Linked DNA regions of Arabidopsis thaliana. The protein of the gene in region 2 purifies or fractionates together with the protein of the main gene of each other region. This does not show direct contact. Each region holds a gene or a part of one and is shown on either strand. Other genes may lie near its edges.

Region 1 (5,510 bases), 2.7 Mb from region 2:
CGTTTGTTTGTTATGTGTTATGAAGTGGTCTGCTTCTTTGAATAAAGCATCGTTTTGTTGGAATGTGATAAACTGATAATTGTGTTATGCTATACTTGGATGCATGAGGATAAATGAAAACTAACTATTCAACTAAACCCTAAAACCTATACGATCAAAATTATAGTAAATAGTAACACTTAATGAGACTTTAAAGTTGAGATGTGTAACTAGTCACCACTCACTCATGTTAGTGATTCATGTGTGTGTCAGTGTGTGTGTGTGTGTTTTTATCAAGGTCTTCTCTTAAGATTCATAAGTGTGAATCTGGTGGGACTTAATTGGTCTGGTGGAGTAGAACCTATGCGGGCAATGAGGAAGGTTAAGGTAGGCTAACCGAGCCCACTCTCTAAGTGTTTAATTTGTAACCTTAATTCGTAAATAAAAGCTGTTTAATTTGTAACCTTTATTAGATAAAATTTTGTCTTTTTTTTTGTCAAAAGATAAAATGTTGTCAATCATTTTAAAAACAAAGAAAAAAACTTTTTTGGCAAGAATTTATATATTTGCTTGTCATAAATTTTCCATTTTGTAGTATTTTGAAAAAAATATTTTAACGAATGGAAGCAATAACTCGACAAAAAGAGTCAAACTAAAGTACCTTCACATGCAAAACAAAACGTAAATTTGGTATTTTTTTCCCATTAAAAAAAATATATATATATTCTTGGCCTTGTGTGCGAAGACGATCGAGAACGAGAAGAACGATAAGCTCAATACGCACGAACGTAGATCGAAGACTGGAAAGGTATATCTTCATCAAAATATTCATGATTATGGTTGAGTTTAATTTTGTTTACGTATTTGTTTTAATTTTTCAAAAGTCCACTGTTGGCTGGCTGTTGCTATCTTGGAATGATTTTCATATCTCAATAACTATTGTTTACTCTAAGTTAAATTATTGGGGTGCTATTTATGATGACTGATGAAGTGATGGGAACATGATTGCAATATTAAAATCTCTTTTTTATTTATATTAATTATAAGTTTGTACCCACTTCATTTTAAATAGATAATGCCAAGACGTAGGTATATTATTACTGAATTTATTTTTTAATAATAAGTAAATATGCAGGTTTCAACTAGAAAGGTAACACATCAACAAGAAATACCAAAAACCACTAGCTTACATATTTTGATCATATAAGTATTGAATAATATAGTTATAGATGATCAAATAGTTATTATTAATTACTTAGCTAGTGTAATTTCTATCGATTGTTTCACATTCGCAACAGATAATTATATAAATAAATACATACTACATGTTAACCTTTGTTTTTGTTAAATAGGATGTTTTCTTGATTGATGATCTAGATCAACTTTTAATAATTTATACGTACCAGCTTTCATTCGATCGTGCGACTTCTTGGAATATCCCATGGTACATTTGCAGTCGAGCTAGAAAGCTTTTTTGATAATTTATGAATCATATTAAGCGTCTCTCAATTAGATTAATATTTAGTACCAGTGTAAATGATACAATTATAAATCTTTTTACCAACGAATACAGAATTTGTTTTAGAAATATTCTTCGCAAAATTTTATAATATTTCATAAATCAGTTATAAAAAAAAAAAAAGCAGTTTTGAATTCAGAGGAATTCGTAAATTTCCCTAAGAGTTATTAAAACTAGTTGTGATATTTTGGAGTATTCTTTATGGCTAGATCCATATGATCCGGTTCTTGTATCTAGATTTTTTTTACGGAATATTGTATGATATATCTAGTCTCCTCTTTGGTTCTAAACTTCTAATTAATCTTCGGTGATTTGAATTAAACGTTACTGTTTTTAAATTATGATTAAGGCTTTAAAACATGTTCATACAATAATTACCAAATCTTAACCAATTAGACTCTTAATAAGGAGAACGTATATATATGTTGCAACTTGCAACTTTAGCCCTTTACAAATAATTAATCGTACATAATCTAATTGATAAACGATTCTTTAAATTTTAAAACAATGAATTAGCTTGCTGCCATCGTTTAATGGGCCAACGCCAATATAAAGACGATTAGTTGAGAAGTTGTGCAAGTAGAAGTATATGAATATTTTCATTATCTAAAAAAAAAAATGTATATGAACATGCGTTTTTCCCAGTAATGCTTTTTATATAAATATGCCTCGTGGATCACGAAAGAATAAATTATTATTTCCCTTATTATTTCATCTAGTACGATCAATATCAAGAAGTCAATATAAATAAACATACAATTCACTTTAATTGATCATAGCACCGATAACAATCTACTCTCTTTAAAAGGTCTTATCTCTATTCTTCTCTATTATGTAAAAATTGGTTAATAGTAGATATTAACAATTTATTTTTGCAACTACAGAAATTCGTAAGTACTATCAAGAAGCAGAAGATGGCCCAAAAGGTGGAAGCACAAGGAGGGAAAGGAGCCAACCTATGGGACGATGGATCGACACATGACGCCGTGACCAAGATTCAGCTCGCAGCAGGCATAGACGGAATTCAATATGTTCAGTTTGATTATGTCAAGAACGGACAACCCGAACAAGCTCCTCTTCGTGGTACCAAAGGCCGTGTTCTCCCAGCTGATCCGGTTCCTATATTTTCCTTGCCCATTAATCTTCTTCTTTCTATATGTATACTGTTATATTTTGAAGTTTTGACATTTTCATCTTGATCTATTTCTACAGTTTGTGATTAACCATCCAGACGAACATCTAGTTTCTGTAGAAGGTTGGTATAGCCCTGAAGGTATCATTCAAGGAATTAAGTTCATCTCCAACAAGAAGACTTCTGATGTCATTGGATCCGATGAGGGTACTCACTTCACTCTACAAGTTAAAGACAAGAAGATCATTGGCTTTCATGGGTCTGCCGGGGGCAATCTTAATTCTCTTGGGGCTTACTTTGCTCCGTTGACTACTACAACTCCGTTGACTCCTGCCAAGCAGCTAACGGCATTTGGTAGTGATGACGGAACTGTATGGGATGATGGTGCTTACGTTGGGGTTAAGAAGGTGTACGTTGGACAAGCCCAAGATGGAATCTCAGCTGTTAAGTTTGTGTACGACAAAAGCCCTGAGGAGGTCACAGGAGAAGAACATGGAAAGAGTACTCTACTCGGATTCGAAGAGGTATAATACTTTCTTTGCTCTTTTTGTTGAATGTAAAAATTATACATCAGAGAATTCAAATTCTCTTCCGGTTTCCATCATAATGTATTCAATTGTTTTATTTGGTTTCCAATAACTGCAGTTCGTACTTGACTATCCAAGTGAATACATCACCGCAGTCGATGGCACTTATGATAAAATCTTTGGGAGTGATGGCTCAGTCATAACTATGCTCAGGTTCAAGACTAATAAGCAAACGTCTCCTCCCTTTGGACTTGAAGCTGGCACAGTCTTCGAACTCAAAGAGGAAGGCCACAAGATCGTTGGTTTCCATGGAAGAGCCGATGTTCTGCTCCACAAAATTGGAGTCCATGTTCGTCCTTTATCCAACTGATGATGGAGCTCTTTATCCTTGATTCCATGCATCTAATAAGTTATCAAATCTATCTTCTAAATTTCTCATATGAGGTCTCTTCATGCCTCTGGTGAATGGTGATCTTTGATAAGTGTTTTACGCGTTGTCTCTTGCGATGTTGTTTTTTCTTTGTTCTTCTTGTGCTCTATTTTAATAAAGGAAGTTTGTTCCAATCTGATCTTTAGTTTCCCTATATGTTCTATAATACTTACTTTTGCCATTATTTGGTTCTGATACTAATTTTACTTGCTATAATTCAAACTAAAATCTCAACGTATGAATTGTACAATTTAAAATGCAAATGTTAACTTTTTTGGATCAAATATATAGTTGTTCGTATTTTCTCAGTAAAAAAATCCTGCACAAAGTTTTTATCTAGAATGTGTGACCATATTGAAGTTTTTGGCCTTCTCCAAACATAAAAAGTTATTAGTTAAAAGTATATGAGTTGGCCAAAAAATACGAACCGGTTCTTGTTTCTAGATTGAGCGTTACAGAAAATTGTATTATATATATACTCTTGGTTCTAATTTCTCTTAGGTGATTTCAATTATACTTTTACTGTTTGAAATAATGTACAATGCTGTGGAAACATGTTCTTACAAGACTTATCAAATCGTCAACCAATTAGAGTCCTAAAAAGGGGGTCACTAATTGTAGAATTCTGACTTATATAAATTGCAACTTGCACCCTTTACAAGTAATAACGTATATAATAAAATTGACGACTCTGTGAATTTTAAAAGAACTAATTAGCTTGCTGCCATCGTTTCATTGGCCAACACCAATATAAAGACGATTAGTTGAGAAGCTGTGGAAGTAAAAAAGGAGTATATGAATATTTGAACATGTATTTCTTCCGGTAATGTTTTAAATATGCCTCGTGGATCACGAAATAATAGATTATTATTTCTGCTAGTACGATCAATGATCCTATATGCGGATATATGGTTATATGCAAGAAGTCAATATAAACACCTATGATTCACTTAAATCGATCACAATCTACTCACTTTTGAAGGTCATCTCTCTTTTCCTCTCTATTAGTACAAAATTGGTTAATAATTGAAAATTCACAATTTGTTTTTTTTTCCAATTATAGTAACTATAGTAAGATTGATCAGCAAGCAAAATATGGCTCAAAAGGTTGAAGCAAAAGGAGGGAAAGGAGGCAACCAATGGGACGATGGATCCGATCATGACGCCGTGACCAAGATTCAGGTTGCAGTAGGCGGAATGGGAATTCAATACATTCAGTTCGATTACGTCAAGAACGGACAAACCGAACAAACTCCTCTTCGTGGTATCAAAGGCAGTACCATTCCAACTGATCCGGTTCCTATACATTTTCCTTGCTTATTTGACTTCTTCTAATTTTTATAGAAAATCTATTGTTTTACGTTGAAGTATTGACATATTGAACTTGATCTCTACAGTTTGTGATTAACCATCCTGAGGAGCATCTAGTTTCTATTGAAATTTGGTATAAACCTGATGGTCTTATTCAAGGGCTTAGGTTCATATCCAACAAAAAGACTTCTCGTTTCATTGGATACGATCGTGGTACTAGATCATTTCTCCAAGTTCAAGACAAGAAGATCATTGGCTTTCATGGGTCTGCCGGAGACAATCTTAATTCTCTTGGAGCTTACTTTGCTCCGTTGACTATCCCATTGACTCCTGCCAAGCCGCTACCGGCACTTGGTAGTGATGATGGAACAGCATGGGATGATGGTGCTTACGTTGGGGTTAAGAAGGTGTACGTAGGACAAGCCCAAGATGGTATATCGGCTGTTAAGTTTGTATACGACAAAAGCCCTGAGGAGGTCACAGGAGAAGAACATGGAAAGAGTACTCTACTCGGATTCGAAGAGGTATAATGTTTTCTTTCTCTTTTTTTTTTTGTTGTTGATGAATGTTATATACATATAGCTATATATATGCTTTGATCAGAGAATTCAA
Region 2 (7,058 bases):
TGATAGGTTTCAAACATGGTAGAGATCACTTCTCCGTTTGGTGGTTCCATGAGGCTGCTTCACTTGCCTAAATCTTATCCGATTCACTGCAACATGGTTTCAGCTAGCAATACATTTGGGTCAGCTCATCTCAAGCTGCAAAACAAAGAACCGTGTGAGTCTACTTGATTTTAGTTCGAGCATCTTATCTAGTAGAAGATCTGGTTTTGGATAAGACCGGTTTCTTTAGACTTGGTTCTGATTAGTGTTCTGGTAACATTTGAAGCAGGCTCCCGTTTAAGGCCTTGTCGAGTCAAACGCGAAGAAAATAACCAAACTGCGGATGTTGAAAGCATTTCAATGGATGAGAACACGTTGAAGCAAGATCTCGAGACTGCGGTCCAGGAAGAGAATTATGTGGAGGCAGCTAAAATCCGTGATAAACTAAAAGAGCTTCAAGAAGACAACAAAGCCTCTGTTTTATCAGCCAATTCTCGGTTCTACCAATCTTTCAGAAACGGGGATTTAGCTGCGATGCAATCACTATGGTCAAAATCAGGAAACCCGTGCTGTGTACATCCAGGGGCCAAAGGCATAACTGGTTATGATTACGTGATGGAAAGCTGGGAGCTTGTGTGGATGAACTATGAGTTTCCGTTACTGATTGAGCTGAAAGATGTCGAGGTTCATGTCCGAGGAGAAGTAGGTTATGTAACGTGTATGGAGTTTGTGAAGACGAAAGGGAGTAGTAGTTGGGGAGCTCAGTTTGTGTCGAATGTGTTTGAACGGATCGATGGACAATGGTTTATATGCATTCACCATGCTTCTCCTGTTGATATTTGATCAAAGAATCGAAGAAACGATACACATTTTCAAAACGTTTTATTTTTATATGCGTTTGGAGGTTGCGGTGGGATACATTGGTGGTTTGCTTAAGGGTGATGAAGGACTGTTTTTTATTTCTGAGGTTGGCGATTGGGAATGAAAACGCCACACAAACGAGAAGAGGCATAAGTTGTGACGTTTGTACTAGAAGAGGCACAAAGGATCATTTTATTATAACCAGAGCCTTGTAGATCTGGCAAATCATGTAGACAATGAAAAATGAGAAGAAAAATAAACTCTTTTTATTAGAACCAAGACCTCATGAATCTTGGTCACTCACAAAGTAAAACATAGGAAAAACACATTGAAACAGAAATAGCTTAAAGCTCATCCTTCTTGAGCGCGGATGGACGAACACCTTGACTGAGGAAATCCTTGTAATACTTGCCGGATTCTTTCTCGTAACGTGTGAGGTTATTTTTGAAATCAACGTAGTAGAGTCCAAATCTGTTTTTGTAACCATCTTGCCACTCGAAGTTATCCAACAATGACCATACAAAGTATCCTGTAACATTCACTTTGTCGATGCTGCAGATATTACACAAATGTTTTTATTAGATTCTTCACTACAATTGTTAGTATATCAGATGAAAAGGAAATAGGACATACCAAACAGCTTCTTGCATACTCAAAAGATGCCTCTGAAGATAATATTTCCTGTTATGATCAGCGGTACCAACAGCAACAGAATCTGAGGCCCCTAGTTCTTCTCCATATCCTAAAGAAGAACATCAACATCAATATATTTAGTTCTAAGATAAAATCAACCAAATAATAGTTGACAGTAACAATAGAATCTCTAGTTACCGTTTTCCATGATCATAATTTCCGGATTTGCGTATTTGTCCTTAATGTACTTCAACAGACTTCTAAAACCTCTCGAGTAAACGTTCAATGCAGCGGTCAAAGGCTGAAAATAAAACAGAGGTGAGAATGTTGCATCATAGACAAATGTAGCACATAAAAATTTCAGATTGCTATTAAATTTATACCTTGCTACCAATGGCGTAATTTTGCGCATTCTTAGCTGAAAAGAAGAGATAGGTTTCGATTAGTACCAAAAACAAACATTTTCCCTTTGATTTGTTGCCATTGGTTTTCTTGGTTCGGTTTCAAGTAAGGGCAAAACAAACTTACACTCCCATGTAATAAGAGAATCTTGCATCCATCTTGGTTTTGAAGGATCAGGTTTCTCCAAATGGTTTGAAAACACTGAAGTATAGTAGTTGAGCCCAACGAAATCGGTAGAAGCTTTCAGTTTTGCTTTCTGCTCAGTTGTAAATTTAGGCAATCTATGTCCAACAATGTCTTTCATGATCTGTGGATAATCTCCAAATGTAGTTGTGTCTAGATGCCTACAAAAACCATCAAAATATCGTCATATAAAATTTCAAGATATTTAGTATAGTACTAATTAATTAGGGATGTTATAACTTATACTTACCATCCCAAAATAAAGTCAAGTGCACGGTCGATGGACGCACCGTCTTGTGAATCAGCAAGGTCATGTGCTTCGAACCAAGCAGGACTATGTGCAATTCCGATCTTCCCACCTTTACACTATGGTCATAATTTAACATAATACAAAACAAACTATTTTCAGATCCGAAAGATGATAGATAACTAATTATGATTTATATATGTGATGTACCTTTTCGCATTTCCGGTAAGCTTCAACTGCTTCTGCGTGAGAGATAAGGAGATTGTGAGTGACAAGGTAAGCCTCGTATCCTGATCGTCCGTCTTGGCATTTAGCATTGACGTAAGAAGAGCAACGACCAGGTGCCTTTTTGCCTACGTCATAGCCAGCGTGCGAGAAAACCCATGGCTCATTGAAAGTGATCCAATGTTTCACTTTTCCACCGTATTCTTGGAAAACAAAATCTGCATACTCTCGGAAATCCTTCCTACAATATTGCAAAAAATTGTTGAATATACCATTTATATTCGCATATCAAAGAAAACAAAAAGTGATTGGGGTTCGTTTTCCAACAGAAAAACTTACACAATCCTTTCGCTTAAAAAGCCGCCATATTCATCTTCTAAATCTTGTGGAGTGTCCCAGTGAAAAACAGTAACGAATGGAGTTATACCTAATTACAGAAAAAAATAAAAAATTAGAGAAGTTTAATACGTAAGAGATTATAAATGTTTTTTTTTTCGTTTTTAAGTGATTAATATATGTAACCATTTTTTATGAGCTCGTCGATGAGGTCGTGGTAGAATTGCACACCAGCTTGACTCACTCCTTTCTCCTTTCTCCCATCTGATAAAATTATTGTTTTGTTTCATTAATATAGCAATCATCGTAAATACACCAAATTCGATTGACACTAAGTAGTGATTAATAAATAACTAGATTTATTTGTATATCGATCAATCCTTATATATATTTACTCACGAGGAAATATTCTTGGCCATGCGATAGACATTCTAAAGGCGTCTGTGTTTAGATTCTTCATTAGTTGGATATCTTCCTGCAAACATTTTTCAGATGAGAATTTTTTTATCAACATCTAGTCTAAATGAATAATCAATAAACTATTAAGATATGCATATAATATGATAAATAATTTCTTCAATCTTTATTAATATATACCTTATAACGATGGAAGAAATCAACGGCCACATCGCCGTTATCGTTATTGCACCTCTCTGAAATATAAAATTAAGAAAAAATATAAGATTAGGTGAACCAAAACATTCTAACTATATACAGTATGTAAAAGATAATGTAGAAACACTCACCTGGATATCTTCTACAGTAGATGTCCCATAAGGCTGGTCCACGACAAGTTTCATTAATCGCACCTTCGACCTAATGCCATAGCAAAATAGCTTACGTGTTTAGGGAAATGGTTTAGAATTATAGGCTAAATTTTTCTACACGATATTGTTAAATTGCTGTTAAGTAACTATCATGATACAAATTTCATTCGATAATTTAGCAAAGAAAAGAAAAAAGTATCAGTACAATACTCTTACTTTGCTAACATTGTTTTGTTTTGAACTATAGTTTTGATGTTCTATATATTTTAATGTACAAAACATCGTCTTACAAATATAGAATTCTATACTCTCCAATATATATAGTTTTAAGATATATATGGATTCAACTATATATACTGTCTTGAACAATCTTGCACGGTAACATATTATTTGTGTGAAATAGTTCATAGATTTTTGTGTATATATATGTCAAGAGGTGCTCACAGAGGAACTTATATTGTACCTGGTATGCCGCAGTAGCCGTGCCAAATAAAAAACCTTCAGGGAAACTTGCCCGGCTTAGTTTGTTCGACGGCGGGCAAACAGGTCCATCTGCATTTGCTGGAGAGGCGACGATGGTCAGGAGCAAAAGCAGCCCAATGAGAGGAAGCTTTTGCAAAACCATTTTTGTTTGTAATTCTGATTTTATTCAAGAAAAAATGTTTAGGATGGTTCTTTTACATATCGAAGACGTTCTTTATATAGTGATCTTCGAATCAATTATTGATCTCTCTTTATGTTTTTATAATAATATACCCAGCCAGGCCATATTAATCAATTTTTAAGTTTTCATTTTGTATATATCAAGATATCGTGTTTTCTGTCATATCCTAATTATTACTACGTACATGGATATTGACGTTATAGGTTGTATATTGTTTCTTTACCTTTTTATTTGACTAAACTATATGCACAGTTATTATATTTAAATAGGATGATTTATTTGCATGGTCTAGACTCTAGATCCGTCGATCGTTGTATTTCTTTTGATTTTTTTAACATTTAGAACATATAATATTCCGCGTGTCCAACGAGTGTATATTAAAATGTGAAATTTATATGATTATTTTATTTAGTAATATCCAGTAATACCATATAATAATAAGGCCCTAATAATAACTCATATCGAATATCGTTGCCCGATTTTCTACAACTCCTATAATAAACAGTGGATTGTTTTTTTTTTCTCTTTTTTTTTCTGAAGGTAAAGACCACGGTCCGTGTCTGTATTTGTTTTCAAATTTTAAACATACTCCGATAATGAAAGAATGGAGTATAATACTATCTCGTGTTTCACGAGATACAACTTTATATGCATGATATCGGATCATCCAATGAATCATATTATATCAATAATTTCCCCAAAAAAGTAATCGTTATAACTGAAAAGAAAAAATGTAATCAACATGTTATCAGCTATGGTGGTCAACAGTTGGAACCATGGTTGTATCATCTTAGAGCATATTTCCCAATTAAGACATGTCTATCAGATAAGCTGTTGCTTACAAATGTATTAATGCTATCTAACAAGTAACAAGGGTGACTGGGTGAGCGACACCACTCCTCTTTATGTGGATACTGGATACGCCTTTAATCCATATCACATGTTTCAGCTGCAGTCTAGAATTTTCAGATAATATAAAGAAAAAGAAAAAAGTCAAAACAATATTAAACTGTAGTACTGAATAAATCTTTTTGATTTTTTTTTTTTTTTGTCGACTAAAAGAATGATGTTATCTTTTTTTTTACTTGTGAATTTTGTTCTTCTTTTTCTTTTGCCTTTTATTACAATAACCACCCGAAGAATAAATGAATCCTAACAATGAAACTTTTATTTTATATTATTTGACAATTTCGACTGTTGGGGACCAAATCTAAGCCGAGCGCATGCGTAACTATAAACTATTGACGTTGAACAAATAAATAGTGTTAAACTATATGTTTAAAATTGTTGATCTATCATAGTTTATCGAGCATATGGAACTACTATATATATGTTAGTCATGGTAGTTTAATATAGACATCCTATACATAAAAGAACTTAGAATCCTAGTCAAGTTGTTGGTACACTTCGTTGCAGTGGCGAGTCCAAAAACAATTTTCATTGGGGCAGGATTTACTTACACCCACACCACAGCATGTACATGCTTGGTATAAAAGAATGGTTTTTAAAGATCCACTAGGAAAAAAAGACTGATTCTAGCCAATTATTCCGATTGTCTCTCACAATTACTTATATAGACAAACAAATTCTGATGTGGAACTCGCACCCACACCAAAACGTGTACATCCGCTCTTGCTTGGTTGCATGTAATAATATAAATTTTATCAATACAATTTCAATGTATAGTTATGTTTTGCTAATGAATCCAATATAATTTTTAAGGACTATATCTATCGCCATAATGAAATCTGTTAGATTTGAAATAGATAAATAGTAGTTTACGGGTCAGAGAAAGAAAGGCTGTTTGTGTAGTTTTACACCATGCCAAATTGAAAATTTAACACTGGTCCAATAGAAAGAAAAAAAAAACTAACCACGTTGTAACTTCCATAAAATCTCATAAGTTTCGTGTTCCTTAAGGTATAAAGTAGGAGTTAGAATCGCTACGAATTATTTTCTCGTTTTTGAGTCAAAATATATAATTCCGATTCTTTTTTTCTCGTTATCTTCTCAGTTCATTTCGACGGTCGTATAAATCGTTTACTCGGTAATTTATTGGTGGACGGTGGGCTCTTCCATTTCCTTATTTTCTTAAAACATTTTTATTATATTAAAATATACCATGCGATCCACGTTAGTAATTTTATTATATAAAAAATTAGGTCGCGCTATTTGAAAGCGAAAATGATAGCATGACCATCTGAGGGATCCATCACCGTGCCTACAACTAGATGATTTCATAACACAAATGTATGTCGCCATGCTAATTTACCAATTAATTCCATAAGCTTCATTTTTGTCTCGGGACTCATTTCTTCGTATTAAAAACTTATCTAATTAACTTCACGAATCATGTATAACTTCTTGTTCTCCAATCCAATTATTGTTGTAAACAACCATCAATAGAACTCGTAGCTCAACATCGCTAAACGCTAACAAAACCAACAAAAAGTTTCGATGTATATATGTTCAATTAAAATAACATATTTTTATCCATTTTAATTCTATAACTAGTGTTTTCTAAAAAAAAAAATATATATATATATATATATATATATATTCCATTAAATTTTTGAACGACATTTAACTTGGAACAAATTTTGTTTTAAAACCCTTTAACAAAAAAAAACCCCAAATTTATTTTATAAAACGACGTTAAGATTGTAATCGATATGAAAAAAATATATTATAATACGAAAAATATGTAATTGGTTTGTGCTGATATTGTTGTGTTACTATTTAGATTCAAATGTGAGATAAT

What was found.
Region 1: the proteins of PYK10 (region 2) and PBP1 purify together in Arabidopsis thaliana (affinity purification with western blotting, with the first as the bait; one study listed by BioGRID). This does not show direct contact.

The regions. Positions count from the first base shown.
Region 1 is NC_003074.8:5,577,148-5,582,657, forward strand, and holds PBP1 (PYK10-binding protein 1), read left to right. Parts: upstream 1-2,142; 5' UTR 2,143-2,306; intron 2,307-2,327; exon of another isoform or gene 2,328-2,382; 5' UTR 2,383-2,412; coding exon 2,413-2,613; intron 2,614-2,710; coding exon 2,711-3,154; intron 3,155-3,275; coding exon 3,276-3,527; 3' UTR 3,528-3,885; downstream 3,886-5,510. Other genes in the region: JAL31 (jacalin-related lectin 31), read left to right, coding at 4,683-4,883, 4,985-5,422. UniProt on the Arabidopsis thaliana protein: Inhibitor-type lectin that may regulate the correct polymerization of BGLU23/PYK10 upon tissue damage. Activates BGLU21, BGLU22 and BGLU23.
Region 2 is NC_003074.8:2,839,473-2,846,530, forward strand, and holds PYK10 (Glycosyl hydrolase superfamily protein), read right to left. Parts: upstream 4,310-7,058; 5' UTR 4,259-4,309; coding exon 4,097-4,258; intron 3,683-4,096; coding exon 3,613-3,682; intron 3,520-3,612; coding exon 3,464-3,519; intron 3,342-3,463; coding exon 3,266-3,341; intron 3,131-3,265; coding exon 3,053-3,130; intron 2,958-3,052; coding exon 2,870-2,957; intron 2,772-2,869; coding exon 2,516-2,771; intron 2,425-2,515; coding exon 2,309-2,424; intron 2,220-2,308; coding exon 2,002-2,219; intron 1,892-2,001; coding exon 1,857-1,891; intron 1,775-1,856; coding exon 1,672-1,774; intron 1,583-1,671; coding exon 1,474-1,582; intron 1,393-1,473; coding exon 1,185-1,392; 3' UTR 1,114-1,184; coding exon of another isoform or gene 1,089-1,113; 3' UTR 1,005-1,088; downstream 1-1,004. Other genes in the region: AT3G09250 (Nuclear transport factor 2 (NTF2) family protein), read left to right, coding at 16-154, 269-782, 884-946, 1,089-1,113. UniProt on the Arabidopsis thaliana protein: Beta-D-glucosidase active on scopolin > esculin >> 4-MU-glucoside >> DIMBOA-glucoside. No activity with pNP-glucoside, oNP-glucoside and sinigrin as substrates. May possess beta-D-fucosidase activity.